Cricetulus griseus: one gene and its partners. The protein of the gene in region 4 purifies or fractionates together with the protein of the main gene of each other region. This does not show direct contact. Links are inferred from orthologs where the notes say so. Each region holds a gene or a part of one and is shown on either strand. Other genes may lie near its edges. The genes, in order: Rnf111, Skil, Lemd3, Smad3, Hif1a, Runx3 and Smurf1.

Region 1 (4,228 bases), about 6.8 Mb from region 4:
ACACACATACACCCAAAAACAGAGGCCAGAAATAAACAACATATATCAATCTTACACTAATTTTACTAATTGGGAAGGATATAGGCCAGGAAAGGTTAACAATACATTTTTTTTTTTTTTTTGGTTTTTTAAGACAAAAGATGGTTTTTGGTTTTTAAAAGATGACAAAAGAAACCCTGTGGCTTTGGAGGTTGTTCTGGAACTAGCTCTTGTAGACCAGGTTGGTCTCGAACTCACAGAGATCAGCCTGCCTCTGCCTCCCCAGTGCTGGGATTAAAGGCGTGAGCCACCACCACCCAGCCTTAATTACTATTTTTTTGTTCTGTCAGTCATATTAAAGTCCCAGCCCACCAGGTTAGGGTCAAAGCAGGGGGGCATACAAATAAGCCATAACTAAAGCATGATACCAAAGGCCTTCCTTAACATGACATATATAAAATAAACACTTAAAGCTCTAAACATTTTGATGCAATGAGCTTTCTAGTCCATATTTTCAAAAAAATACACAGATGTGCCTGCTGAATAACTTACTGTTCCTTTGCTTCATGCAAGTAAACTGCCGTCCTCTTGGGACATCAGTAGAAGCATAGAAGCATTTCTCAATTTCTCACAAACACGGAGCACCAAAGTGAAACTTGCTGAACGTAACCTCAGCTAACATACATTCTTCATTAAAAGAAAGTATTCTTATTATAGCATTCATGAAACACAAACTCTAGACCCAAGTACAATGGTAAAAACCTGCAGCCCCAGCTCCCTAGGAGGCTGAAGCAGGAAGATCCCTGAGTCTAGGAGCTGAAGGCCAACCAGTTCTAGTGACCAACAGACAGAGACCAATGGGAAAAGATGACAAAAGAAACCACACACATATGACACAGCCCTGACTAGCAAGAAAAGACTATTCTTACTAATATTCTTCAATGTCATTAGGGCCAGTTCACAAATATCCTCACTAATTTTTTCAAATACTACAGAGAATCTTAGGTGACATGCCAGCGGAATACAACAAAATATTTTGTTCATGGTTAAACCCTAAGAGAGTAGCAAAAGAGTTATACATACATTCGGGGTAGGTGTTCAAGACAGGGTCTCTCTACATAGTTAGGGCTATCCTAGAACTCACTATGTAGACCAGGCTAGACTTGAACTCACAAAGATCCCCCGGCCCCTGACTCTCATGAGCTGGGATTAAAAGTTTGAGCCATCACGCCCAGCACTCCCGCTACAAAAGTAGTAGTTAAAGCTAAATAATTTGTTTCTCTTCAGAGTAGAAGCTTCCTCAACCTGTGTCACAATGTAACAAAATACCATAGTTACCAGTTTCTACATAAATGTTTTTAACTGAAAGAAAAAGCAAAAACAAAGATCACATAGTAACAAACTATCAAAATATGGTTCCGGAGCTGGAGAAACCGTTTGGAGTCAAGAGTGTTTATTCTTGCAGAAGACCCCAACTTGGGGGTCCCAGCGCCTACACAGGGCAGTGCAAAGCCTCCCTTAAAACTCCAGCTCTAGAACATTAGATCCTCTTCTGGTCTCCACGGGCACCTGCACTCACATGCAGACCCACACACTGACATACACCCATATGAAGGATTTTTTAAATGTAGACCCCTATCCTAATGAAGCTAAGTAAAATCAGAACTATGGAAAGAATGTCTACGTAAACTCAAAACTCACGTGATAAACACAAACGGGCAAGGAGGTGGAACCTCAGCTCATCTTTTTCCCAGTCTGTTCCTTTCGGTTAAAGAGGTACCAAAAAGAAGAAAATTAAAGATAAAATGCCAAATGGAACAAAGTTTGGTTCAAGAGCTATCAGAACTTTTACAATGAAGTCTGTCAGCTGGCTCGCCGCTACTCAGGAGTTCTAAACTCACTCTGTACATAAATCAAGGAATAGGAAAGCTCTCAACAACACAATGGAGTCACCCCACACTACAGACATGAGCAAATTAAAAGAAGGCGCTATAACTTCCTGGTTGGTTTTGTTTTTTTTTAGACGCTAAAAAGTCACTCTTGCTTTAAGACATTATCTATAAAGCCCTATAATCTAGGAGATGTGGTGACAAACCTCTAGTTCTCAGTACAAAACCCGATGCTTTCACCGCACCGCTGCTGACTCCGATCAATTATCTAGGCAGGATAAAGAAAACATCTTTTTTTAATGACTAACCAGCCAGCTCCACACAATATCAGACGCGTCTGTCTTCTGCTCCACGGACTGCGCGTGCTCGCCCGCACCGGGCGGCTCCCGGCTTCGGCCCGGGTTACCTTCTTTACTCCATTGTCACCCCCACGCCTGGGCCTTCAGCCCCCGTCCTGCCGGCGGGCAGCGGCGACAGGGTGCGATCCCCTCACCCCCTCCCGCTTAGGAGGCTGTGGGTGTGTCCGCGGGCGGACTCTCGCCCGGACACAATGAGCCGCTCCGCGCCGCCCGGGACCCGCGGACATCCCCCTGCCGCTGACCCCGGCCGCCAGCCGCGGCCCTTCCTCTTTCTCCCCACAGCTCGGCCCCTCCCCCGCAGCGCGCAAGCGCCGCGGCGCCGCTCCCCTCCCCCGCACCCCCCTTTCCTCCGGCGTCCTCACCCGAGTCCGCAGCCCCCGTGCGGCCAGGTCCGGGGCTCGCTGGCGCGGGCCGGCAAACAGCGCTCGGCCAGGCGAGGCGAGGCTGAGGCGGCCCGGGTGGCTCTCCTCGGGAGGGCGTCTGTCAACGCCGCGGCCAAGCGTGCGGCTGAGCCCGGCTCGGCCCGACCCGGCTCGGAACGCCCGATCGTGGCCCACGCGCGCTCGCGACCCTGAACGGCCGGCGTTTCTACGCCGCGCAGTCCCGGCGCCCCGCCACCATCGCCGCCGCCGCAGCCTGGCTCGGCCCTCCCCGACTGCGCGAGCGCGACACCGGGGCCCTTTTACGACAGTTCGGAAAGCAAGCGCGCCGGACTCACGCCCTCTCACGTCCGTATGTCTGCGCGTGCGCGGACCTTCGCCTGCCGGGCTCGCCCCCCTTCGGCCCCCGGGCCCGCCCCCCTGCGTCCTAGCCTTTCCCCTTTTGCACTGGCTTTCTCTTACTGTTTGTTGGCCCTGTTGAGCTACGTTAAGAAGAAGCTCGTAGGGTTCATTTTCTTCGGTGATTTCGGGGTCAACAATACTTCAACATGATTCTGCCTACATCCTGGTTACTTTTTCTCTTCTAAATCTTACCGGCTGCACTTGCAGCGCTCTTAAAGCAAAAACGTGGTGTCTTTCCCAGCAAATGACACCCAAACTAGAGATCACATCTCGCTGTTCAAGTGAATTGTTTCCAAAATCAGTTCAAGGGTGGTATTAGATAGCCTGGAAGCTCTGGCTATACAATCTGAGAACACTTCTTAATTACCTCACAAAACAAGATGATTGCAATGTTTCATTGCGTGCCCTAGGAGGCAACACATAAGGACAGAGCGTGGCCTCTGCGGTCAATCAGGCAGACTTCTGGCCAGAAAGCTGATATATTAACACCTTTATAAATCTCAGTTTCCTCCTTTATTAACCAGGATAACTTTATATGCTTTAAAACCATCTTTAAGGTCAAATTTGGCGATTTATATAAACCTCCATATATTACCAATTAAGTGTTCAGTAGGCATTAATTCCCTCCTTAGACACAGGCTCTTCAATAATTTTATTCACTCATGTTCTCCATATTGAGTGAAGAAGGTGTTTTTAAATTATAAGCGAGGAATAATGAAAGAGCATTGGACCTGGATTTCCTCAGTCCCCCAATGGCTTCTCTCTAAAAGTAGGATGCCACCTGGACTATTGAGGCCGTTGACTCATGATGTCTCAAACCTCTGTTTTCATCTCTCTCCTTTTTTTCCTCTTTAAAGATTTGACTTGTATTCCTTAATTAAGGTAGACACACTTGCCACATACGACTCTTGAACACTTGAAATAAAGCGCTATTGACTTTGTATTGGCTACATCAATTTTAAGAACTACATTTCAAAACTGTGAAAAGTCCAATACTTTTTACTATGGATTGCATGTTAAAGTATATTTTTACTTCGCTTGGCTAAGTTCATGGATACAAAGATGGTCTGTGGTGTTTTTCACAACAAATGATTCCCAAATCATACATGATACTGAGTAAAAATCAGAACTGTCCATATTCAGCTGAATTGATTCTGAAATCAAGTCCAACATTCTATTAAATAGCCAGAGAGAGTTCTGGCCATTCATCACTGAAATA
Region 2 (3,500 bases), on a different chromosome or scaffold from region 4:
ATAGGACCCTGGTTCAGTCTCTAGCACCATATAGTTTTTTTGTTATTTTGATATGATAAGGTGAGCTTTTGTTCCAAGTTATCAAACATGAGTAACTCTGTTACTATTACAAATATGGAGATGATGAGCACATTAACATAGCAGCTGTGGAGAGTCGGAGTGTTGCTATAAGCCTTTGTGACAGTATGCTACATCCTCATTCCTCTAATACTCCTATTCCTTCAATTCCCTAACATGTCAGATGTCAAAAGTAGGTGTTCTGAGATATGCATGAAAATAGTTCATTTTGTAAAAAGCAAATGGCAGTTTGTTTTATAACCATGGTAAGGTGATTAAATGGGAAAAAAAATCAAAGTGATGGAAAACTAATAGTCTTTTAAATTTTACAGTTGGCAGAACTGAGGCAAAGACTAGACCATGCTGAGGCGGACAGGCAAGAACTCCAAGATGAACTCAGACAGGAGCGGGAGGCAAGACAGAAGTTAGAGATGATGATAAAAGAGCTGAAGTTGCAGATTGTGAAATCATCAAAGACCACCAAGGAATAGGAGCCGAAGAAGAGATGGATCTGTATTTGGTCAACAGGGATTTGTGTTTGTCACTTACTTTGGAAATTGAATTCTGTTGTCTTGCCATATCTGCATGAAGATAGCTAGACATTCTATTCATTTATAGGGCAGCAAAATGAAGAGATTATATATTAGTACATAAATTTTTCCACTTTCCAAATGATAAGTGTATGCTTCTTTGAACTTTTTCCAGTCAGCTTGGTGATGATAACCCATGTAATTTCAACCTGTAGACATCTACCTGTATTTCTAAGGCAAGCCTAACAGTTACATATTTTTCAAAGCTGTGGTATGTGATGGGAAATATCTGTCAGTTTTATTATGCATATTTCAGGCTCGATTTTAGATACAGTGCTGATGTTTATGATGCAGAGTTCCTCAACCCTGTATCATCCTTCTCATTACAGAATATGTTACTACAGAATCTCCTTTTTCTTTTTTTTTTTTTTTTTTTTTTTTTTTTTTTTTTTGTTTGTTTTTTTGAGACAGGTTTTCTCTGTGTAACAGTCCTGGCTGTCCTGGAACTCACTCTGTAGATCTTGCTGGCCTCAAACTCAGATCCGTCTGCCTCTGCCTCCCAAGTGCTGGGATTAAAGGTGTGTACCACCAACGCCCGGCTGAATCTCCTTATATACCATGTCTGTTTTTAGTTTGTTCAGGTTGTGGAGTAAGGTTCCTCCTAAGAGCAGTTTTGCTGATGGAATGATAGTACCACCACCCCAACATGCAGTGGGGGGAGTGTGCATTGCTGTGCCCTGATGTTGCACACAAGAAGCGGCTGGAATTTGTCTTTCATTTAAGAGTGGCTATATCTAAATATGTGTGTGTGACTTCAGAAAATTAAAATGATTACTGAACTTTTGGTAATAGTGCTGTGAAAGTACTTCATGAGGAAAATGGACTCCACTGATGTACATTGGTTCCTATGTAATTCATAACCCTCTTGTACAGTTTTTGTATGTAGTCTTATAAAGGTCTCACTGAAATTTATATAATGGATTTTTTCTTTTAAATTATAAAATATAAATATCTTGAAGGTTATTTTGGACTTTTATATGTTTAAATGTTATCTTAAAACTTGCACGAATGGACCATTATGACTCTTTAATCTTAAAATCAGGAATTTACAGTCAGCTAATAATATCTGATAGGTTAATAATCCATAATTAAAGTATCTGCTGCTAGCAGGAATTTTAGATAATTTTTAGGTGACAAATGAATTCCGTGATTTGGGGAAGGGCAGCCTCTGCACTTTTGTTTTTATTTTTTTGCACATTAAAGTCTGACATTTTTACCAGAGAATTTTATCTTAGTTGATGTTTGGCTTGATATTTACTGGAGAAAATTCTCAGTGAGCATTGTATTTTTCTTTTTGTTTTGTTTACCCTCCAAATTGCAGGGTTCTTGTGGCCTCTGCCTCCCAAGTGTTGGGTTTATAGGTGTGGGCCCCATCACACCTGGCTCTGTGTGTGTGTGTGTGTGTGTGTGTGTGTGTGTGTGTGTGTGTGTGTGTGTGTGTTTAGGGAGATTTCCTGAAAGTGGCAGTAGCATCATCGCCATGTTTTATGTTTCCCAAGCTGTCTTATGTCACTACGTTAAGTGACTTGATAGCTATGCTTACGAATAACGTAGAGTTATGGCTGTCATTGCCCCAGTGGTATTATCACGTACCTGCTTATAGTCCTATTTTGTTTATGATTCATCTAAAAGCAACTTTTCTGCTTTCCAAAAGGGAGTTTGCTTTCTAAATATATTGTGACCTAAAAGAGGATTTACTATGCTTTATAATTTAATGTGTTGACTTTTGTAACCTCTTTGAGGAGAAACATGTTAAATTGCACAGGGACCATATATGCCATTTTATTTAGATTTGGAGAAAGAAAAACCACAGGCATTTGTAAAATAGCTTTAGCTTAGTTGTCAGTTATAGCACAGCTTGGCTATGTGGGAGGCAAACTTACACCATTTATTTTTCTGACTTCCTCAAAACTTGTACTTCCGTGCTACTATAGCAAATGTAATTTTTCTAGTCTTTCAATGAAACTTGCCTCATGACATAGTTTAGCATAGTCTACTTCCCAGAAGATGAAAGGATGTGCCATAGTTTTCTGTCTGAACTTCCCTTAAAATAATTTTTAATCAACTGTAAATATTATACCTATTGCTGTTGAGAGTAACTTTTAGTTACATTGCACCATGTAGCTTGAAAACAATTGAAATTCTGTAAAACTCCCAAAGTGACCTCTGCTTAAATTTTCATATGAAACTTACTTTATGCATGCTCTTTTTGTGTGCTGGTTGCTATCTTAAAGTTTATTTTGGTGTTAGGTCTTGTGGTAAGTTCACTAGGCAAGCAGATAGTTCCTCAAACTTCATATTATGTTTAGGGAAAAATGAGACCATTTACAATGAAAAGCTGTGTTTAGGAGTGGATTGTAGAGTTTGCAAATGGAGGAAAGATGGTGGTGTTAGCTTTTATAGTAAGTGATGCTTGCTCTGGTGGTGATAGTCTCTCTGTGGGCCAAGTCTGGGAGCTCCTGCCTCTGTCAAGGAGACTCTGAAACCACCTGCCAATCACAGCCAAGACTTTGAACACCAAAAGATTCGACCAACAACTTAGATTTGGCTTGAGCTTTAATATTTTTGGAATATATTCTTTCGCTTGAATTTCTTGTGTTTTTGAGGATAAGGATGTTTTATGCTTCTTGAGCTAATTTTATAACATTTAATATATAACCTGTTTATATGTAAAATCTTTTGTACAGGGGTGGGGTGGGAAGGAGAAATGAAAAAATTCATGTGTACATAGTGAATTATAAAGCAGACTGAAGTAGGTGAAACAGTGAGTACCACTTTGTTCGAAGGTTCCTGTAGCCTTTGAAAGTTACACCAGAACAACCAGTTTCTTTGTGTGTCTGTGGCTTGTTTGCA
Region 3 (3,500 bases), on a different chromosome or scaffold from region 4:
TTTAGTTTTATGTGATTGAATCAGATTAAAACAAACTATGGAGAATGGCTCAGCAGCTAACAGTGCTTGCCAGCAAGCATGACAACCTGAGTTTGAACATTCATGGTGGAAGGAGAGAAACAATTCCTAATATTGTTCTCTGATATACATGGCTTATGCCCCTGTATGTGCAACCCACATATGTGTACACAAATTAAATCAATCACTCAAACACATAATGTAACCTGGATGGAAGAAAAGACAAGAACATACATATATATATATATATATATTATATATATATATATATATATTATATATATATATGCATGTGGAATTGGAAGGGTTGCTTTGATGACTTGGGGGTTATTGTGTGTAAGATCCTTTTCTGTAATTTCTTTTTCCTAAGATGGGGTGTGTGTGTGTGTGTGTGTGTGTGTGTGTGTGTGTGTGTGTGTGTGTGTGTGTGTGTCTGTATTGGGTATGTGCACATACGTGCTGGAACCTGCTGGGGTCAGAGGTGTCAGTTCCTGGGGAGCTGGATTTGCAAAAGCTTATAAGCTACCTGATGTGGAATTGACCTCTGTCCCTCTGGAAGAGAAACTTAATCACTGAGCCATCACTCCAGCCCTCTGTGCCAACTTAATAGTCCTCAAGAAAGTAAAATACTTAGCAGTGATCATTTATGCTGAGGTTCCTTAAAATACAGTAGCTATTGTTTCCATATGGATTTGTTTTTCAGATGCATAGCTTTAACCATTTAGCTTGATTTCCTCTTTTAAATAATTATAGACATTTTTCTTACAATTGGTATTTCATAATAACTGTTTTTAATTTTAGGAAAGTGAAAGAAATCTTGTGATGAGCACATTATACAAACTTCATGATCGGTTGGCCCAGCTTGCAGGTATTATTTTACCTTTCATTGTCTCCCAAACCATGTCTAAGGTTACCTGGTGTGTGTGCTTGTTGTGTCAGTAGAAGTAGTCTTGCCTAACCATAGACTTACATTTATTCAATAGTTTTCTTTAGAGATTTTTAAAAGAAATTTATAAAGATGTAGGGCTATTTATTTTCTGCTTGCCATGTGTTAGATATAGTTTATGTATGTTGTGTAAATAGTAAATTCTGAAGGCTTAAATAGCAATTGAATTGGATAAGCAGTGATTAATTAAAATCTTGGATTAGATACAGAGGTATAGATTTTCTTTTGGTGATTTTGCATGTTACTCCTGTAGTTAAAGTAAATATAGTATTCTATTTTTAGTTGAATTCTTCTCATATTCTACTCTTACTGGTCTATCAGAGTGCTCAGGTATCAACATATCTGCAGCCTGAATTTAATGAAATTATATTTTAAATGCATCCTTACTAAGTTTGATATTTGCAAGCAGTATCGGCAAAACTACTGTAGCATATTTGTTTATCCAATTCAGTATATAAATTTATTAATATTTGTGTATAATCTGAAAGATGTGGCTTTGGGAGCCTTCTACACTGTGCAGGAGCAGACTACCATGTGCAAGTGAAGTCTTTGGCAGAAGTCTAGGGGGCAGATGTGGTGACTCCTCTGGTTAGATGGAAGTACTTAGGGTCCTGACACTTGTTTCCCATGCCTTATCCATCTTGCTCTTTGATCCATAGTTTTCCTCAGTTTTTTAGGTTTATAATTGTGTACATTATTAAATGCTTTCTCTATACTGATTGATTTGCTCTGTTCATATATCACAGCTAGTGACATTCATGTGGTATGTTTAGCACCTGGGTGTGGGTTGAATGTATTCCATAGCTAAGAAATCCTAATGTTGCTACCTTAAGCCTGTGTGACTCTCAATACCTACGTTATGAAGTGACGCCTGTGGTTTCCTAGATCAGTACACACGGTTGCTCTTAAAAGATGGAGCTTTCCTCCCCAGATTGGACGTTGGCAAGTTTTTCCTATAAAGTGCCCATAGTAAATACTTGAGGCTTTGTGGACTAGACTGCCTCTCTCACTACTATTTTATTTTGCTATTATAACATGCACGTAACCATAAATAGTACATTAATCAATTAGCTTGACCCTACTCCAGTGAAACTTCATTTATAAATAGCAGCAGACTGCATTTGGCCTCAGGTGTATTTGCTGACTTCTGGGTCTGTGGAATCAGTCTCTCTCTGAGGAAGCATTATAAAGCTTGAAGACCTGTTTATCCCTGATCTAACTGCCACCATCACAACCTGTTCCTTGAGAAAACTGAGAAGTAAGAACGTACTTTCAGGGTAGAAAGGTGTGCAGGATTTCACTTTTGTTATTAAAGTTTTGTGTTGGGTGTCTTGCCACCCCCACCCCCGCCCCGCCTTCTCTCAGTAGACCAGGCTGGCCTTGAACTCAACAGAAATCCGCCTACTGCTGCCTCCTGAGTGCTGGGATTAAAGGTGGGTGCCTTATATTTTTAGGTTGAAGAAGATATTTTTAAACTACTTGAAAATAATAGGACAGCAAAAACTTAGCACTGAATTTTAGTATGAAGAAAAAATATCTCTAATAGACACATGTAGTCTGGAAAAAAAGCTTTGAATTTTCTTCAGTTATATGAAAGAAGGAAGTAATTTTCTCTAACTTTTATAGCATACCCCTTTATAAAAACTAAGTCATAAGTTCATAGATAGAAATCTTACCCTCATTTCACTGTTGATCTGTGTTCAAACAATTTTTAGGGTTTGCATTAGTTATCAGAACTGTTTGTAGAAAACGTATGTAACATTCATCAATATTTACTGATTATTACTATATATATAATTGTGTCATTTGTAAAACATTTTCAATTCTATTTATTTTTCTGTTTAATATTGTACTTATTCCAAATTAGTATGGTAATCTTTTCAGGAGATCATGAGTGTGGCAGTTCTAGTCAAAGGATGCTCTCTGTTCAAGAAGCAGCTTCGTACTTAAAGGTAAGCAGTGGCGTCAGAATTTTAGCCCTAGTCTTAAAGCTTATATACATCCATACCACTGTTAAAAGTAGGAAGCATTTGACTACTTTAATTGTACTGCTTAAGGCAGTTTTTACATCTTCTTTTACAACTCTTTTCCATACCTGCATCAGTCCTTCCTCATCCCTAAGCTTATCCTCTGTCTCTTTTCTTCTTGTTACTCTGTCTGAGTGGTTTTCAGTCTTCCCAACTCTGTGACCCTTTAATACATGTTGTGGGGACCCCAGCTATAAAATTATTTTCATTGCTACTTCATAACTGTAATTTTGATAATATTATGAACGTAAACATCTGTTTTCTGATGGTCTTTGGGGGTCATGACCCACAGATTGAGAAGCACTCACTTGTGCATTTGTTTACATATATAAGTGTATTGTTGGCTAGGTTCCTGGTAAGAGAGAACATGTTTTTTTTTATTATTATTATTTCTGAGATTGTAGATATAAAGCTGATTGGAGTGTATTTATATCTAAGGATATGAAGCTAATTGATTTTCTAGTTCTACTTGTAGTTCATTGAGTTGAATAGGCCATGTGTGGTTAATT
Region 4 (4,145 bases):
GTACAACCAAAGAACCAACCAACAAAAACCCTGCTCCCACCCACCACCTTCTTTGTGCAGTCTGAAGATGCCTAGTCCTGGAAGACCTGGGTGAAGTGGAGGTGGTTAGCCTGAACTCTCAGAAGCACACAAACCTTCACCTGCCTGGGACTGGGAAGGGCTGCAAGTGAAAGCAAGATCAGAAGGCAAATGTAGGCCAAGGAAGGCACAGTCTCTCCTCTAAGCTGACCCCAGCCCAAAGATGAACCAAGAACCTTCCAGGCAGAGATCCACCACCCTCCCTGGATAAGGATGCTTTGGGCTCTCAGAGTCCACAACAGTCTGGGAGAAAGGGTATGCTAGCCCCAGTCTTAGGTTTTTCCCTATCTCCTGTGAAGGTCTGTCTGGTTGAAAGGCAAGATCATTTTAGACCTCGCTGCCTGTTCTGTTTTCCAGGCCTTCATCAGGCCTATGACAGTGCCTTGTAAATTGTGAAACACTCTGCCCAGCTGCTTCATAATTGATATCACTTGAGGGGGTTCAAAACATAAAGTATTCAGTGTGGCTGCACCCAGGCGTATTAGGAAAAGGCTATTTCTCCGGATCTGACAGAGACCTGAGACTCAGCCACTCCACTTCGTCAAAAGGATAAAGAAGAATGAGGAGCCAGAGCAGGAGCTAAAACCCAGGTGCCTGTGACCATCACGTCACAGCACCCCCCTAAAGCCAGTTGGCAGAGGCTCACAGGCCAAGCATTCTTCCCAGACAACTGCCTTCGCCTCCCCCTTTATTGATCCCAACCAGGTTTGGGGGTTGGTTGTTTTTGGTTTTGTTTTTTGGCTATTTTTTTTAAGCAGGCATCCCTACCGTCTGTGGTGTTTATTTCCAGGGAAGGCCGACCCTGGGCTCCTGTGGACAGATGCTGCTTTGCGCCTTACTGTTAGGGCTGGCAGCATACACACAGCTGCCTTGAGCAGGTGGCCAAGGATGGAGGCCACCCTGGCCCGGAAGAATGATGACCTCTCTATCTTAGGCCCTGGGAGCTCTCTCTCCATTCCTCTGCAGCTTGGGACACCACCACCTCCCACCACCACCCCCACCCCGCAACATCCGCACCTGCCCTCCTCTGGAATCAATCTTTAAAGATGTCTTGAGAAGTGGAGACAGAAGGCTAAAGTGCCCTCATCCCAGGCGCAGTTATGCTCTGGGAGGCCCTGGGAGTGAAGTCACTGACCCCTTCCATCAGCCATCTGTGAGCTCCCGCCGGACTCCTCTAGCCCGATGGGAAGGATAAAGGAGGTCAGGACAGATGGCAAAGCGTTTTGGGAAAAGAGGTCTCTACAGGAATGCAGGGACAGAGGGAGGCCAGCTCTGGGATGTTTTGTTATCTGTCTGGAGCTGCCTGCTCGGTTCTAGGCACCCGCAAACTCTCAATTAAAATGAAGGCATACCAGGCAGGCGTGGGGTGGGAAGAGGGAATGACCGTACTTTCTGCCACTTGTTTCTCCCGCTTCAAAGTCGGTGCTTTGCTCTGCAACTAAGTGCGTGCGTGCATGCGTGCACAGGGGGCGGGAGGCTGGCACAACCAAATCTAAAAATACTCGATAAAAATGCTAATCCCAAGGCAAAGAAAGAGCGAAGAAGGAATCTGTCAATCAACGGGCTCCCGCTCCTCACCCACAGCTGTACCGACTGCATTCCTGTAGACGAGGAAAAGAAGTGGGGGAACAGAGCTGAAGAAAAGAAAGGGACACACGCCACCACCTCCACGAGCGCGGGGCGGGAGGCGGCGGCGGAGGAGGGGCTCGGCCGGCAGAGCCGAACAAAGCGGGGCCTCTACTTGGAGCCCAAAGCCCAGAGAGTGGGGGGCCAAGCTCAGCAGCACCCCTGCTGCCCACAGGCGGCTAGGGATCCTTGAGGTCTGGAAGCCAGAGTGCCGCATGGAAGCCTGGGCTCTGAGCCTGGACAAATCCGAAGAAGGTTTTGTTTGGGGTCCCTCCACCCACTGCCTGTCCCCAACACTAGAGCGCACACACACGCACACGCCCTCCCCTCTCCACCCTGGCCGCCCTAGAGGGCTGGGCCGGCGCGCCCCCCGTCGCTCCCGGCCCCCACCTGGGGATGGTAATGCACTTGGTGTTCACGTTCTGTGTGGTGATGGCCTTCTCCAGCTCGTCCAGCTGCCCCGTCTTCTTGAGCTTCTTCACCAAGCTCTTGACCGCCTTCTCGCACCATTTCTCCTCCTGCCCATTCTGCTCGCCCTTCTTCCAGCCCAGCAGGCGCTTCACGATCGGAGGGGTGAAGGGCAGGATGGACGACATGGCTGGCACGGGAGGGTCACCGGCGCCCCCGGCGGGACTGGGCGCACTGGGGACGCCGGGGGCGCACAGGGGCAGCTCGGCCTGCGCCGCGCCCGAACTTCGCGTCTAACTCTGGAGAACTTGCCCCGGCGTCCGGGCCGGGGCCGCGGCACTCCAGCTGCGGGGATCGGGAGCACGGTGGCGCCTGAGTAGCTCCACGAGGACCGACGGACTGACGGGCAGGCCCCGGGCGCGCGGGGCGGAGGCGGTGGCCGCTGAGACTCCGAGTGGCAGTAGAAAGTTTGGGTTTCCGCACGGGGTAGCTGTTTGGGTGCCGCCTCCGGGAAGGAAAGTCCAACCCCCAGCCAAACTTTGCTGGCCTGGATGACTCTGGTGAGCAGATCCCTCCGCCTCTGCAGTCCTCCTCCTCCTGTTCCTCCTCCTCCCCGCTGATCGCCGCCTCGCAGGGCCGGCCAGGGCCGTGCAGCGGCGCTCCCCGCTCCTCTCCCGCCCGCTCCCAAGTCTACGTTTCACGCAGCTCCGCGTGCAGGCTTCTTCCCAGCGCTGTCGCCGCCCCCTCGCCGCTCGGGCTCCCCGCTCCTCCCCCGCGCTCAGCTCCGGGGAGGACCCGCGGCCTTCCCCGCCCAGCGCCGCCAAGCGCGCCCACGTGGGCCACCGGGCACGGCGGCCGCGGGACCAGACTCTTGGGGACTCGCCGCCCTCAAGACGCTCAGATGCAGTTGCAGGGACTAGAGAGTGTTAGACTCGCCGGAACAGGCGCGGGACCCCTAGGGTTCGCTGCTCCCTGGAGAGTACTGGGACAAGAAGAGGGGTTCAGTTCCAAGCCCAGGAAGCCGGGGAGCACTGATCTCGCTCACTGGCCCCGGCTGTTTTCCTTTGGTTTGGTGTTTTTTGTTTTGTTTTGTTTTTGTTTTCCCGCTGGGTGAGATCAGACCGACTGACTGCCCGGAGACTGCGGAGGAGGGAGTTGGGAAGGGGGAGAGGGAGACTTAAAAGTGGAGTTAGAGACCTCAGTGACAACTTGAACAATAGCTGGAGCCTGGGGTCCCTTGGGCCTAGTGAACCAAGCTCTTTGCAGAAAACGGGCCTCAAAGACATCTGTTGCATTCCTTAAGGAATGAATGGGAGCGCTTTAGGATTTATCTTTGGGGGAGGGGAAGAATTAACATTGCTGGGTGTTACTGAAATTCGACGCCAAACAAGCAAGAGAGCTTTGTTTACAAAGCAGTGAACTCGCACATACAAAGTGGAACGAAGTTTACTCAAAGTTAGCCTAGGTAGGACACCAAGAGAACCTGACTTTGGGTAGCCCTGGGGCCCAACTATCGGAATTCGGGGCTGGCTGCCCATGGTCCTTTCACGGGCTTGGAGGCGTTACAGCAGGCTCTCAGCTCCTTTACCCTGCGGCTGCAATCCCATCGGGTTAACTCAGTAGGTATAGGACTATGCTTGTTTTAAACAGTGGGAAACCCCACCACCACCGACGGTGGTGAGAAAGAAGTTATTTGCAAACCAAGAGCCGGTGGGAGTTACAAAGACCTATGAAGTGTGGCCAGTCCCACAAAGTCAGCCCAGAAGCTTCAGGGGCCCCCAGCTCTGTCACCGAGGGTGCCCCATCGCCAGCCACAGCTTGTCAAGAGGCTGTGGTTTCCTAGGTGTCTCCTTCCACCTCCCTGAAGCCAAGTCCTGAAAGGAGGAGGATTGATTCTTGAGGCCCAGTGGACCCTAACAAGCTAGGTCCTGCACTCCTGTTGGAGTGTGGCTGTAGCCTCCCCTTCCACTCGGCTTCCCAGCCCTTACCAAGAGACTGAAATGGAGGCGGTCTTAACTGCTGTCTTCAACCTA
Region 5 (4,170 bases), on a different chromosome or scaffold from region 4:
TGCTCAGTAAAACAACTGATGCTAGATACTGCTTCAACAGGGAAGAACCCCTTTTCAACCTTTGAATTCAATGCTAGTCTCTTCATTTAGGTGGCTATAGAGAAAAAATTACATGAAGGCACATAAGAACTAAAATATATTTAGATATAGACAGGAAAGTTTAATGGTTATGGAAGTCTGAACTATAACTTTCACAGTTAACACATATTTTCAAGTGTAAGAAATGTTACAAAGACTCCCATTCCATGTTGGCCTAAGTGCTTTAAACGCATTACCTCATCTTCAGAGGGCTAGTATTATCATCTGGGAGTGGGGCATATAATCCAGAAATACTAACTTGCTAATGATCACAAGTGGAAAGGCCTGGGACTCCAACTTGTGGGTAATTCTCTGCCTCCCCATCCCTACCCTCTAAACTTTTAGAATGCTGATTCTTCAAACAGGGAGAAAGCTGAATTGTAATGAGGTCCATTGAAGCTAGAAACAGCATGAGCTTGACACGTTTTTGAAATCTAAGAGTCCATATGCATGTTAAGTCAGTCAAGTGCAGCCCCAACACTCAGTACCCACTGTTAAATCTATTATGCATTTTCTGTTCTGCTTTCTTCCAAATCTTCAAGGTCTGGGTTTTCTATGCCCTCTATTAAAAAAAAAGCAAACTTATTTCCCCTATGCTCACTTTGGAGGCTCATTTAAGAAGGAAAAACTGCAGACAGAAAATCTTTACCTCAATCTTTCAAATAAATTATGATTTCAAAAGTACATCTTTAACAAACAGCACCTAAAGGTTGTTGAGTGACCCAACACTCATGTTCATTATCTTTTAGCGATATTAAGAACCTCTATATTAAGAAATATAATCCCATCTGATCTAAAGCTGCTAACATCTCAAGTGAGAAAAACTAAATAACAGATGGGTCTGAGGAAAAACTAAAAACCATTTAGAACTTGGCCCAATGCACAACTAATTCACTCATTCATTATAAAATTACTTTTGATTAAAAAATATTGCATATAACAATGACTGGTGTATGACCTGGTGTATTGTATTAAATCTAATTCAGCATTTAGTAAGGACAGTAAATGGCACTACCCAATTGCAATCTGCCTAATGTTTAGATTATAGCAGCCCCATCATTTCATCAAAAGCATTGTAGTAACTTCTGCAAAATTAATTGCAACTAATTCTGGTAACTAGTGGAGTTAAGTCTAGACTTGTTTAAGCACTTTTAAAACATTTCCGAAGTGCTTCCTTTGGTGCACACAAACTGAGACCTGAACCTTCTATGGAGTAAGGACCAAGACAAGGGACCCACAGAACAGCAAGAAAACAAGAAAGTTTATCTTCTGCTGATATGGATTTAATCTCTTCCAGAAGACTGGAAGGACTCAGCAGAATATTAAGCCAGCCTTCTAACCACAGCTCTTTCTATAAACCTTCAACTCCTTAAACTGATTTCCTCAAGGTTAAAATATTGAAGCAGACAAAACTGTGTGCTGGCGGCAGGGGTCGATCTTACTACTAGCAGCTGCAGTCACACTTCTGTAAGGTGTTCCTTAGACTCAAAAAACTACAAGACGTTTCATAAACTCACATTAAGTTTTCAGAGGCAATTTCTCACTTGGGATGTATTTCCCGATACAATTCTTTCAGGTGTTTCAACAAACTTGCAACATTTTAACTGATGAGTTTCATTTGCTCGCATTATATAGTCTCCCCCAACCCCCATCTCATTAAATCATCGGCCAAAGTTTAACCAAAACTATCAGGAAAGCTCTTTTCAGGAGTGAAAAGAGGCATATACATAGGCGTAATAACGTGTGGGCTCTCCTGTCAGTCAGGTGATGCAGGCACAAGTTTGTAAAAACTGTAAGTTGTTTAAAACGATGCCGTTTCCCTAAATTCCCGTTACTCTGGAGGAGGCAAGGTTTTTTTTTCCCCCCCCCTCATCACAACGGAAACCTGCACGTGCAAACTAGAAAGTTAGCATCTTCGGGCCCCCGGAGCAACTCCCTAACGTACAAAGGCAGCGGCGGCCGCGGCTCAGCAAGACGGCCCGGGGGTGGGGGGGGGTGGGGGTAGCCCCGGATCGGCCTCGACCCCAGGAAGCTGGCAGCGCGCGCAGGGTCCGCCCGGGGCCGGCTTCTCGCGGCTAACGCGGAGGACAGGGGGCGGGAAGGCGCAGAAGCGAGGGGCGTACTCGGCCCCGGCCGGCTCGGCCGGATAGGCGCGCGGGGCAGGCTGGGCAGCGACGGCGCGGGGCGGGTGTCCGGGGCGGAGACCCAGCCCCGCCGAGCGCTGGGCCCGCGACTCCCACCCCCCGCGCCAAGATGGCGACGTGGACCGCGGGGGAGCCCGGCGCGCGAGGCTGGGGGGGACGGAAGGGGATCGGAGACAAAAAAGGCCAGCCCCCGGAACGCGGCGGCCCGGCTTACTTTTTCTTCTCGTTGTCGCCGCCGGCGCCCTCCATGGCGAATCGGTGCCCGCGGTGCCTTCCCGGCCGGCGGCCCCCGGGCTCGCTCCGGCCTAAGCGCTAGCTCCGTCCGCACGCGCAGAGAAAGGGGCAAGTCCAGAGGCGGGGTGCGAGGCGAGACGCCCCCCCCTCCTCCCCGAGACGGCGAGGCGGGAGCTGCAGCTGCTCTCGCCGGGCTCCGGCTCGGGCTCGTGGGCGCTCCTCCCGCTCGCTTGTCAGGGCCTGGCCAGACACTGCCCACGACGGCAGCGAGGACAGTCCTCGCGTCCCCTCAGACGAGGAGGTTCTGTGCACTGAGGCGCTGAGGCAGCGGCAGGGGGCGGGCAAGGGCGGAGGCGCGCTCGGGCGCGCGGCTAGGGGAGGGGACCCGAGGGGTGCGCGCGCCCGCCGAGCCCGACGCGCGCGCCCGCGGACCCGCCTCACCTGAGCAGAGGCGGGTTCCCCGAGAGCCAATGGCGAGCGACGCAGGCGGCCAGGCCCCACCCCAGCCCACGTTGCTCTCAGCCAATCAGGAGGCGGTCAGCTGAGACCCAGCTGGGACGCGCTGCCCCGCTCACGTGCTTGTCTGTGTGCAGCTGGGGAGGGAAGAGAAAGGGGCGAGGGGTGCGGCTGAGCCCGGGCCTGGGGACTCCGAGCTTTCTACGGCGTCTGGCTTTGGGAGGCGCTGCTGGAGATGGTGGGCTGCCGAGCTCCGAGCCTGGCTCACACCGCCCTGCTATCTGGAGTCATCCGAGGCTGGGTTGCCGCCCAGCCCTTCTGAGTTTCCAGTTGGAAAAAAAAAAAAAAAAAAAAAAAAAAAAGAAAAAGCCGACTTTGCGTCGTGGCAGCCAGCCCCCTGGTGTTCGAGTGGGGTCCTTCCTTCCCAGGTGACCCGGAGGCGGCTCAGTCTCTGCGCTCTGCCACAGAACAAGGGAAGTCTCCATGTCGTTAAGATTTTTCTGGGCCGAAGTTTGATTACTGAGCAAATGCAAATAAAAACATAGAACAAATCCTTCTTGCAAAAACCTCTCAAAGGAAGTGAAGTTGCGGGGCCATTTTAAAACAAACTATCTTAAGCATTTAAAAACAAATAGCAGAGCTTTAGTAAGTGAAAGCATAAGCCTGAATTTGAGTGAAAGAAGGGAAAAAGGCTTTGAGAGACTTATTTTGCAGGGCCATTTTAAAACAAACTATCTTAAGCATTTACAAACAAATAACGGGGCTTTAGTAAGTGAAAGCATAAGCCTGAATTTGAGTGGAAGAAGGGAAAAGGCTTTGAGAGACTTATTTTGCTTCCATGTTGCTTTTAAAAGAGACAAAGATGATCTTAAATGGACCCAAAAAGGCGCAAGAATCCTTTGAGGCTGAGTTTGATTCACTGATTAGACTAAAGGAAGAATAATGCGTCCCCTAACCTGCAGATCCTGGTGACCGACTGACTGCTCACCTGCTCTACAGGGAACTATGGAATGAAACATCAGTTTTGGTCAGGCTTTGGAAGCAAAAATGCTAGGCCGGTCAGTATGGGTTTTTGTTGTTTTATGTATTCTGAGCCCAACAAAGGAACACTACATACACTGCACACACACACACACACACACACACACACACATACACACACACACGTTGGGGGTACAGCTGAGCCTTATCTGGAGCCTCTGTTTGAGACTCTTCCTGACACTAAACTGTTTAATATCCCATCTTTGCCTTATTAATA
Region 6 (4,252 bases), on a different chromosome or scaffold from region 4:
ACGAAGGGCAGGCTGGGCAGCTTCTGGAAGGTTCTACTTAAGCCCTGACTGTAGGAGGCCCAATTGTCTGTCCCCTGTTGCTTCCAGAGGCCCCAGATGTCTGTTGTGTGCTGATGCCCGGAGGCAAGGCATGGAAACACAGAATCCAGTGAAAACATAGATGAAGCTGTTCTCTTCTGGTCTATGGGGACTCCGAGTCGGCAGAGCTTTGTGACAGTTCAGAGGACCCACCCTGGGTTGGCGGCAGCATGAGGAGCATCAACTCTAATCACACGTCCCCTTTACCAATGAAAGAATAGCACTCAGAGATGTCAAGCGGCTGGCTTGAAGTCACACAGCACATGGACATTAGAGGCAGGCAGAGGACTGGGCCTTCTGCCAGCACTGCCCAGGTCAGATTGTGTGAATTTCCAGACCCAGACTCAACACACACTGACTCCACAGTCTGAGACTGTGGAACTGGAACATGGCATTTTCCAGTTCTCCAGGAGAGTGGCTGAGGCAGTGAGGAGGGCCGGCATTTGGGGACAGCTGGGTATGTGGACACTGTGGGAGAACGGAGACAGGGGCTCCCTTCTGTGAAACCCCAACAGGTGGATCCCAGAGTCAGAGTGAGAGAACACATCGGCGCTAAGATTCTTGACCTTAGCAGAAATCCCAGGGGTCCATGAACCCGGCTGGAAATAATGAATTTTCCCTTCTGTTAGCAACTATGAAACAAAATTTAGCATCTTTTTCCACCACGATGGTGTCACCAACAGAAACCACAATTGTTTTCAATCTCAAGAAGGTTGTGGCAAATGACCCTTCACTATCTATCGTCAGCACTCGTCAACCCGAGCTACACTGGGTTTTGGATCCACAGGGAGGGCTTCTGTCATTCAAGTGTCTCCAGAGAGGCCCAAGGTCACAGTCCACAAATGGGCCTTTATAGATTGGAAACTGTTTCCCCAGGTCTGGTACCTCCTAAATCCTTTTGATTTTGTTATATGTCTTTATAGTGTGATTTGAGAAGCCACAGGCTTCCTGAGGGTCCAGGATGGTGTGTGGATACAAGGGGACCCTGAGGCTGGAGCTATGAGCACTCTGAATCAGGGATCTGAACCCGAGTGGACAGGTTTAAAGGAGAGAGACGAGACAAGGGCAGGATTTCTTCTTGGGGTCTCCAGGCTGCCTGGTGACAGTGACTCTGACACCTTCCACCCTGCTGACCAGGGACCAGCCATTCAGCTCAGTGACCTCTTTCCTTTTGGGCCACAGCTGCTGTGGTCCCCTCTCCGTCCTTCTATCTCCAGCTGCCACATCTAGGGCTTTGTGTCAGGAGTCCATCTAAGGCATCCGGCACGAGCCCTGACTTCTAAAGTTTCTTTGTTTTAAGCTCAACTTCTCCATCTTGCTCAGGGAGGGAGAACTACAGATTACAAAGACCCAGCAACTGGTTCCTATAAACTCTTATTTTCTTGCCCAGTAACTGCCTTTAATTAACACCAAAGACTACAAAGGGTGCAGAGCACAACAACAGTGGTGGCTGCAAGGGACAGGACCTAGGGCCACTATTTATCATCAGCCACAGCCAGGTTGGGAGTGAGCATCCCTTCTCCGTGGCTCAATCACCATCTGAGCACACAGCCTGCCTTAGGCTCCTCAGATCACCAGGAAAGAGATATGCCTCGCTCTTACCACACAGACCCACAGGTCTCCAGGTCCTCTAGAATCAAATGCTGAGCACTGGCAGGCAGACCTCTATGTCTCTCTCATTCGGCCACCTCCACTCAAAAAAGGCAATGCCTCCCAACCCTAGACTTCTAGAACATTCTGCCCCATCTTCTGTAGAGATTTCCCCTGAGCAACCCAGAAGTATTGCCCCATGCACAGCTCAGATAGTAGAACACCACAGCTAGAGGGGACGCCATCGGGAGCAAAAAGGTTAAGTGACCCATATCGGGTCACTCATCGAGGTTGGCACAGCTTGGGGCTGAAGTTTGGGGACCACAATCTCCTGATCTCCGGTGCCACAGCCCGATGAGCTCCTGCAAAGGGTCAGGAAAGTGGCCGAGGTATATAAAGTCAGGGTACCTCAATGGCCAGAGGCAGGGCATGTCTTCTTGGAGTTTAGCCTAAGTCAGAGGCTCCACATCAGATATCCTGGTTCCTATCCTTGCTGAGGGGCACACCCCAGAACTCTTGGTCCTGATGGGCCATGAATAGAGACAGAAGCCACCTCCAAAACACCTTCTGAGAACAAACCTTCAGACCTTCCAGGGACAGCGTATCTGCCAGATTTTCACAGAGGCCTGCCGCTTCTTTCCCTCCCTCTGTCCCCACTGTTCTGGGCACACAGAGAATTCGGAGGACAGTCCTTAAGATCTGTGGGTCCAGGCACAGCCCTGGCCCTGCTTGCCTCTCATGGTCCTCCCAGACGCATCTGACCTCGGTCCGTCTGAGCCCTTGTCTAGGCAAACAGGCCCCGGTGCCTTGTTCTTTCCAGGACCCTCTGAGGTTTAGCTTTTGAGGTCTATAGGGAGCCATTGCCCCTGCCACACACTCCGCCAGCAGAGAATCAAAGTCCTATAGTGATGCTCGTGTCAGGAGACCACAGAGGCCACCAATCCCTCTCCCCACTTAGCTCCTCAGAGGCTAGCCATTGAGGTGGCTAGAGCAGTGGGTTGGAGGGTCATGGTCTGAGGCCGTTACAACTCCCCAGCCGGGAGAGCCAAGCAGAGCCCCACCATTGCTACTCACCTCGGATGAAGGTCGGTGTGTAGTTGGGGAAGGAGTCGAAGATGCTGTTGGAGGCCATACCCCAAGCTGACAGAGGCAAGGACTCGGCCTCAGGGGGTTGGGTTCGGACCCACTTGGTTGGCTGCTGTTTTGTTATATTTTTTTTTTCAAGCTGCTTTTGAAAATAAAAGGGGGGAGGTGTTGCTTTTCGTTTGTTTTTTGGTTTGGTTTCTTTTTTCTCCCCCTGCTGCTACGAAAAAGAAAAAAAAAAAGGAAAAAAAGGAAAGAACGCGAGAGTATCTGTGGGCGAGAGAGAAGAAAATCTCCAAGGAAAGAAAGTTTCGGTTTGTACCCAAGAATTTGGCTTCCCGGTCCCACAGGAATGTCTAGCCACAAATTTTCAACAGCACTATGTGCAGAGTATCATTAAATGGTGGGAAGGGGCTCCGGACAGCCAGGGCGGAGGAGCCTGGGGCTGCAGCAGTGAGGCAAGACTCAGCAGCGGGAATGAATGAATGAATGAATGAGGCTCACCCTCCACGGAGCCCAGGCTGTGGTGGGGGCCAGGACGGCCAGGGGGTGGGGACGCCAGGAGCCAACCAGCTCCTCGCAGGGCCCTGGAGGCAGTGAGGGCCTGGCCTTGTGGTTCTGTGGTTGAGGGACCAGGCCTTCCCAGTGTCAACCCAAGCTCACATCACAGGATATAAGAAGCCAGCTCGCGGCTGGGGCCCATTGGCTAGGCCACTGTCACCTGGGCCATGATGTCACAGTCCCCTTAGAAGATCTTGTGGCTACTCCCCAACCCCCTTCTTTGGAGGCTGGAAGGAAAAGAATAAAAAGAGAGAAAAGGTAGGGTTTCTGTTTGTGAGTCTGGCTTCATCATACAATCCAGGAGACAGAGCTAGGAGCCACTGAGTGGGCAGCAGGCTGTGGTTTGCAGTGGCCTAGGAGACCCTTTCATAATGAAGGGCAGTGGTGGCCTGGCTGCTCTTCCCCAGGAGCCAAAGCTTGGTTCCATCAGAGGGTGGAGGACCCCTCACTATTGCTGTCACTGCCCTAGGCTGTGGCTGACACCCTGCCATGTCCGTCACCACACTGCCAGGCAGAGGCGTCCACATATGTGGCTGGGTGGCACTTCAGGGGTTTTATGGGAGCTGGGGTTTATGTACAAATGGGAAACACATGAGGCGGCGGCTGCGGCCTGCCCACCAAGAAAGGCCTTGCTTGGGAAAGCTGGGGGCATGGCTGTGCTGGGACGGCCCTGCTCTCGGCTGGAGCCTGCAGCCTAAGCTCACTGGTCTGGGGCCTTTGCCATGCCCTTGGGGTGTTACAGCCAGAGAGACTCTGAGCTCCCTGCCTCAGGGCTTTTGCCTCTGATAGGCCTTTCCTGTGCCAAGACTCAGAAAGGCTCAAAAGACATGGGCAATGCCCCACTCTGTGCTCATCTTCTAAGAAACCTGTCAGATGTGAGGCATGGGAGAGCATGGCTTTTCTTATTTGCCTCAAGAGCTCTTCTGTCACAATTCATAGG
Region 7 (4,161 bases), about 94 Mb from region 4:
TTCAGTTCCCAGTACCCTCACATGGTAGTTCACAACCACTCGTTTCAGATCCAGCACCCTCTGATGTACATATAAACACACATGCAAAACACTCATATGTAGATTAAAAAATATCTAAAACCCCCACAAGACTCAGTTTTTCATGCTTGCACAACAAACACTTTATCAATGGAGCTATCATACCAACCCTCATCAAAGACTCTTAAATGGATTTATTCTGACCTAGGGTCTCAATCTCAATGACAGCTGCCTAGAAAATGAGACAGAGCTAGCGTCTGGATTAACTGTTGCTCATATACTGTTCCTTTTCTTAGACAATTCACTACAGCTATTTGAAACTCTGGGCTGCACAGGGTCATAGAAACAAAACAAACCACTAGGGTAAGGCCAGGTGGGTTGTGGTACAGGCTGGTAATCAGGAAGCTGAGGCAGGAGGATCACAAGTTCGAGGCCAGCTTGGTCTAAAAATGAGCCTCTGTCTCCAAAGAGGGTGGCTAAGTGCTGTGGGTAACAGGGCTAAGGAAGCCACATAAACTCTGTCTATGAAAAGAATTAGGTTCATATCAGATGTGAGTTAGGTAAACATACCCAGCCTTTTCAAGAACGTTTTATTTCCTCTCTAGAATGTGTTACCATAGAGATGGGTTTGCTTGCTGGGGAAAACACAGCTTTTACTTTTTTACCTGCCTGCCTCTCTAGGGGCGCACACGCGCGCGGGGTGTGTGTGTTTCACCCGAAGGCAGGGAATCGCAAATCCCACTGCTTACCTTCCTAGGTTAGTTTAATTGCATGCAGGTCCCTAACCACAAAACCACACACCTCTCCAGTTTACATCACTCATCTAGTTTAGCTGGTCCATATGCCTCACTTCCTGAGGGTCTAGCCACTTTGTCAATCGAATACACCAGTTGCACAGGGCACACCCGATCATTGTGGAAAGTCCTCTCTTGGAACTTGCAGGATCTAAACGTTATTTTCTCAAAAATGATATCGCGTGCCCGTGGGCGCACGCGCGCAAGGTGCTTGGGGTTTCACACAATCCTCTGGCTTCCATCAGGAAAAAGTCCGACTCTAGAAAAATAATTCGATTTCCCAAATCGTTGCACAAGCAAATCAGTTCGTTCCGAGATTGTGGCTAAGAAGTGCTCCGCGAGCGGGATGTCTGTTTCAAGAATCTCCACGGGCTGCAGAAACCTAGTAGCTCCCTGAACCTTCGCGTGCGCGCCCAGGACGAACGCTGTCGGCGTAGCGCCGTGCTCCTCGGGCGCGCGCACGCATGCACGCACGCAAGCGCGGGGCCGCGCAGGGCCGGGCCGGCACGGCGACGGGCGCGCGCAGCTCGGGAGGCGGCGGCGGAAGCAGCGAGGGCGGCGGGCGTCCGGCTGCGAGCGCGGCGGCTCCGGGCTGGCGGCCAGGGGCGGCTCCGGGCGGCGGCGCAGCCGAGCGCTCCGTCCTGCGGCTCCAGCCCGCGGCTCCCGTCCGACGCCTGCGCCGCTCACTCGGCGTCCCGGCTCGGACCCCGGCACCCCAGCCCGTGGCCGTAACCTTGAGGCGGCGGCGGGGCCGGGCCGGGCCGGCTGGGGGCGGCGGCGCTGGATCCAAGGCCGGCCGGCCGCTGGCGGGAGATGTCGAACCCCGGGACGCGTAGGAACGGCTCTAGCATCAAGATCCGTCTGACAGGTAGGCACTACAGGGCCGCGGCCCTCGCGCCCCCAGGCGGTCCCAGGGACCTCGAGGACTCCCACCCCGCCGCACCGGCCGTTGTCCCGGGACCGCCGCACCCCCCACGGCGTGCGCCCCTCGCTCCCTTTCCCGGCCCCGCCCCCCCGGCTGCTCTGCAGGCGCCGCCCCCGCCGCCCAGTACCCTCCCTCTGCATCAGGCCCCACCCCCGGCCATCAGGCCCCGCCCGCTGCGGCAGCCCCGCCCTCTTGCATCTAGCCCCGCCCCTATTGATCCGCAGATCCTCCCCCTTTCGTAACCAGGTTCAGCCCTCGACTGTTCTGCAGACTCCCGCCCCCTCCCCCCACAGGCTCCACCTCTTTACTTTGTAGCCTTGGTGCCCCGCCCTCTGGCTCCTCCCTCTGCATTATTCCCCGCCTGCTAATTTCTCTGCAGTTGGTTTTTTCTGCTTCAAGCCCTACTTGCTGTTCATCCTTCTGTCGGGCTCCACCCCCAACCCCCGCTGATCCTCGGTAGGTACTGCCTCCGGCTCCTCCCTCTTTATCAGGTCCTCCCCTCACCGTTCACACTCTGCCCACACCTACCGTCATTTGCATATGGGCCCCGCCCCCTAACTGCCTCCCTCTGCCCCTAACCTTACCCCTCTGCTTCAGGTCCCGCCCCCTAGCTCCCCTCTCCAGGACCATCCCCTAGCTCTCCTTTCTGCCCTACCCCTACCCTCAGCTGCATAGAGGTCCCGCCCCTCGGGGTCCCCCACCGGCTCTCTTGTGACCCTCTCTATATCCTGCCCCAGGCACCCTCTGTCCCACATCTGCCCCTCCCTGCTCTTCTCCAGGCCTTGTGCCTGGCTCCCTCAGCTCCACACCCACTTTCAACTTCATGTAGGTCCCGCCCCCTCGCTGCACCTTTTGCTCTTCCCACCCTCACCTCAGATTTTCATCATCCATTTCTTCACTCACCATCCTCCTACCTGCTATCCCTCTCTAGTCCCACACCTTACTACCCTCCCACCTGTCTGCTGTCTTTTTCCCTTGTAGCTTCTCATCTCTTCGCCTCCTTTCTTCCTTCACCACTGTGTTCTCTGACCTTCTCACTTCTCCCTCCTGGTATCCCGAGAATCGCCCCCCCCCCCCCCACTGGCCTGCTTTGATCCTCTCTTTGCTCTCCTACCTCCTCACTCCCTCCCCATCTCCATCTTTCTAGGGGCCTTCCCCCCTCTTGGCCCCGCCCCCTCCGCTGCCCAAGCCCCTCCCCTTGTTTCTGTCTGATCCCGCCCTCGATTATCTTTCAGTCCCGCCCCCTCGCTTCTGTCTTACAGCCTCCACCCTTGAGTCGCAAATTCCTCAAGCCTGTCTGGGACCAAACGTCTGTCTCCCAGACTTGTTCTCACTCCCCCCCACCTCTTCAATGGTCCAGACCTCTCCAGTCTAGTCCACTTCCGTTCTCCCTGAGGCCTGGCCACTTAGCACTGCAGAGTCCCGGTCTTCGGTTCCTACCTCCTCTGCAGTGCCTTCGCCAACATCCCCCTCAGTGCCACATGCTTGAGTCCCTGTTGTGGCGCGATCCCCCACTCCCACACAAGCTGAGCTGTGGCAGCTGCTCCAGCACAGGTTCCTTGTTCCACTCCGAGTCTTCAGAGGAATTTTCAGGTTTCCTAGGTGCTCTGTAGTGCCACCTTCAAGGGTGAGCGCAAAGCTTGCTCTGGGTCTGACAGCAACAGTATTGTTTGCATAGAGGGAGAGGCGAGCTCTCTGTCATAGCTGCCCCACTTCATGGGTCCAGAGTCTGGACCACTGCCCCTGGTTTCCTCTTCCTTTCTCCCTCTCCTTTTCCTGCAGAGACCTTACCAGTTTGAATCCATCTCTAAAGCTGCATGGCAGGGCTGGCATAGGGCCTGCTCTGGGGCTTTCTAGCTCAGAAAAGGAAATAAACACTAAGTCTAAGGCCTTTCAGGGATTTCCCTGGATTTTTCTGTTCTGAGGCAGTGTGGTCAGAACTAAGGCTCTCTGCTTGTCCTTTTGGACTGAGCCTTTGGGTAAGGGCTGTGATCATGGTGGTATCTTCCCTGCCACGGTGGAAATTCTTGGAAAGTTTGTAGCCGATGAGTGTTCTGTTTAAGAAAAGATTGACATTTTTTTCTCTGGTGATGTCAGGTCAGATAATGATTTTTGAACTAGAACCCAGACCCTGGTCTTGTTGGACATCTTTGCCCCTGGACAAACAGCAGGTGACTGGAGAGAACTCTCACTGGGTGAATGTAGTGTATGACACTGTGTTGGCTGTTACTTTAGAAAGTTAGATTCTTTGCCAGTCATCCTTGTGAAAGTTTGCTCACTGGCACTGGGCCCTGATTTTAGTGATAATCCACATTGGTTTCAGCCTTCCTGTTAAATTGATGGACTTGGGGAGTTTTAGTCGAAATGAGATCAGTGGCGTTTGTGTCAGCTGTCTATTAACAGATCCTAGAGAACCAGGAAAGG

Evidence for each region.
Region 1: the proteins of Smad3 (region 4) and Rnf111 purify together in Homo sapiens (affinity purification with western blotting; 5 studies listed by BioGRID). This does not show direct contact. The link is inferred for Cricetulus griseus from reciprocal best matches to the Homo sapiens genes SMAD3 and RNF111.
Region 2: the proteins of Smad3 (region 4) and Skil purify together in Homo sapiens (affinity purification with western blotting; 6 studies listed by BioGRID). This does not show direct contact. The link is inferred for Cricetulus griseus from reciprocal best matches to the Homo sapiens genes SMAD3 and SKIL.
Region 3: the proteins of Smad3 (region 4) and Lemd3 purify together in Homo sapiens (affinity purification with mass spectrometry; 3 studies listed by BioGRID and IntAct, counting the BioPlex papers as one, with this or other methods). This does not show direct contact. The link is inferred for Cricetulus griseus from reciprocal best matches to the Homo sapiens genes SMAD3 and LEMD3.
Region 5: the proteins of Smad3 (region 4) and Hif1a purify together in Homo sapiens (affinity purification with western blotting; 4 studies listed by BioGRID and IntAct, with this or other methods). This does not show direct contact. The link is inferred for Cricetulus griseus from reciprocal best matches to the Homo sapiens genes SMAD3 and HIF1A.
Region 6: the proteins of Smad3 (region 4) and Runx3 purify together in Homo sapiens (affinity purification with western blotting; 3 studies listed by BioGRID). This does not show direct contact. The link is inferred for Cricetulus griseus from reciprocal best matches to the Homo sapiens genes SMAD3 and RUNX3.
Region 7: the proteins of Smad3 (region 4) and Smurf1 purify together in Homo sapiens (affinity purification with western blotting; 3 studies listed by BioGRID). This does not show direct contact. The link is inferred for Cricetulus griseus from reciprocal best matches to the Homo sapiens genes SMAD3 and SMURF1.

The regions. Positions count from the first base shown.
Region 1 is NC_048597.1:182,047,543-182,051,770, forward strand, and holds the start of Rnf111 (E3 ubiquitin-protein ligase Arkadia), read right to left. Parts: upstream 2,801-4,228; 5' UTR 2,590-2,800; intron 2,433-2,589; exon of another isoform or gene 2,177-2,432; intron 1-2,176. UniProt on the Homo sapiens protein: E3 ubiquitin-protein ligase. Required for mesoderm patterning during embryonic development. Acts as an enhancer of the transcriptional responses of the SMAD2/SMAD3 effectors, which are activated downstream of BMP.
Region 2 is NW_023276806.1:119,762,675-119,766,174, forward strand, and holds part of Skil (ski-like protein), read left to right. Parts: intron 1-389; coding exon 390-548; 3' UTR 549-3,500. UniProt on the Homo sapiens protein: May have regulatory role in cell division or differentiation in response to extracellular signals.
Region 3 is NW_023276806.1:135,866,578-135,870,077, forward strand, and holds part of Lemd3 (inner nuclear membrane protein Man1), read left to right. Parts: intron 1-819; coding exon 820-886; intron 887-2,848; coding exon 2,849-2,916; intron 2,917-3,500.
Region 4 is NC_048597.1:175,281,546-175,285,690, forward strand, and holds the start of Smad3 (mothers against decapentaplegic homolog 3), read right to left. Parts: upstream 2,801-4,145; 5' UTR 2,301-2,800; coding exon 2,095-2,300; intron 1-2,094. UniProt on the Homo sapiens protein: Receptor-regulated SMAD (R-SMAD) that is an intracellular signal transducer and transcriptional modulator activated by TGF-beta (transforming growth factor) and activin type 1 receptor kinases.
Region 5 is NC_048598.1:129,496,291-129,500,460, forward strand, and holds the start of Hif1a (hypoxia-inducible factor 1-alpha), read right to left. Parts: upstream 2,801-4,170; 5' UTR 2,472-2,800; coding exon 2,437-2,471; intron 1-2,436.
Region 6 is NC_048595.1:18,148,416-18,152,667, forward strand, and holds the start of Runx3 (runt-related transcription factor 3), read right to left. Parts: upstream 2,801-4,252; coding exon 2,743-2,800; intron 1-2,742. UniProt on the Homo sapiens protein: Forms the heterodimeric complex core-binding factor (CBF) with CBFB.
Region 7 is NC_048597.1:81,373,325-81,377,485, reverse strand, and holds the start of Smurf1 (E3 ubiquitin-protein ligase SMURF1), read left to right. Parts: upstream 1-1,361; 5' UTR 1,362-1,625; coding exon 1,626-1,680; intron 1,681-4,161. UniProt on the Homo sapiens protein: E3 ubiquitin-protein ligase that acts as a negative regulator of BMP signaling pathway. Mediates ubiquitination and degradation of SMAD1 and SMAD5, 2 receptor-regulated SMADs specific for the BMP pathway.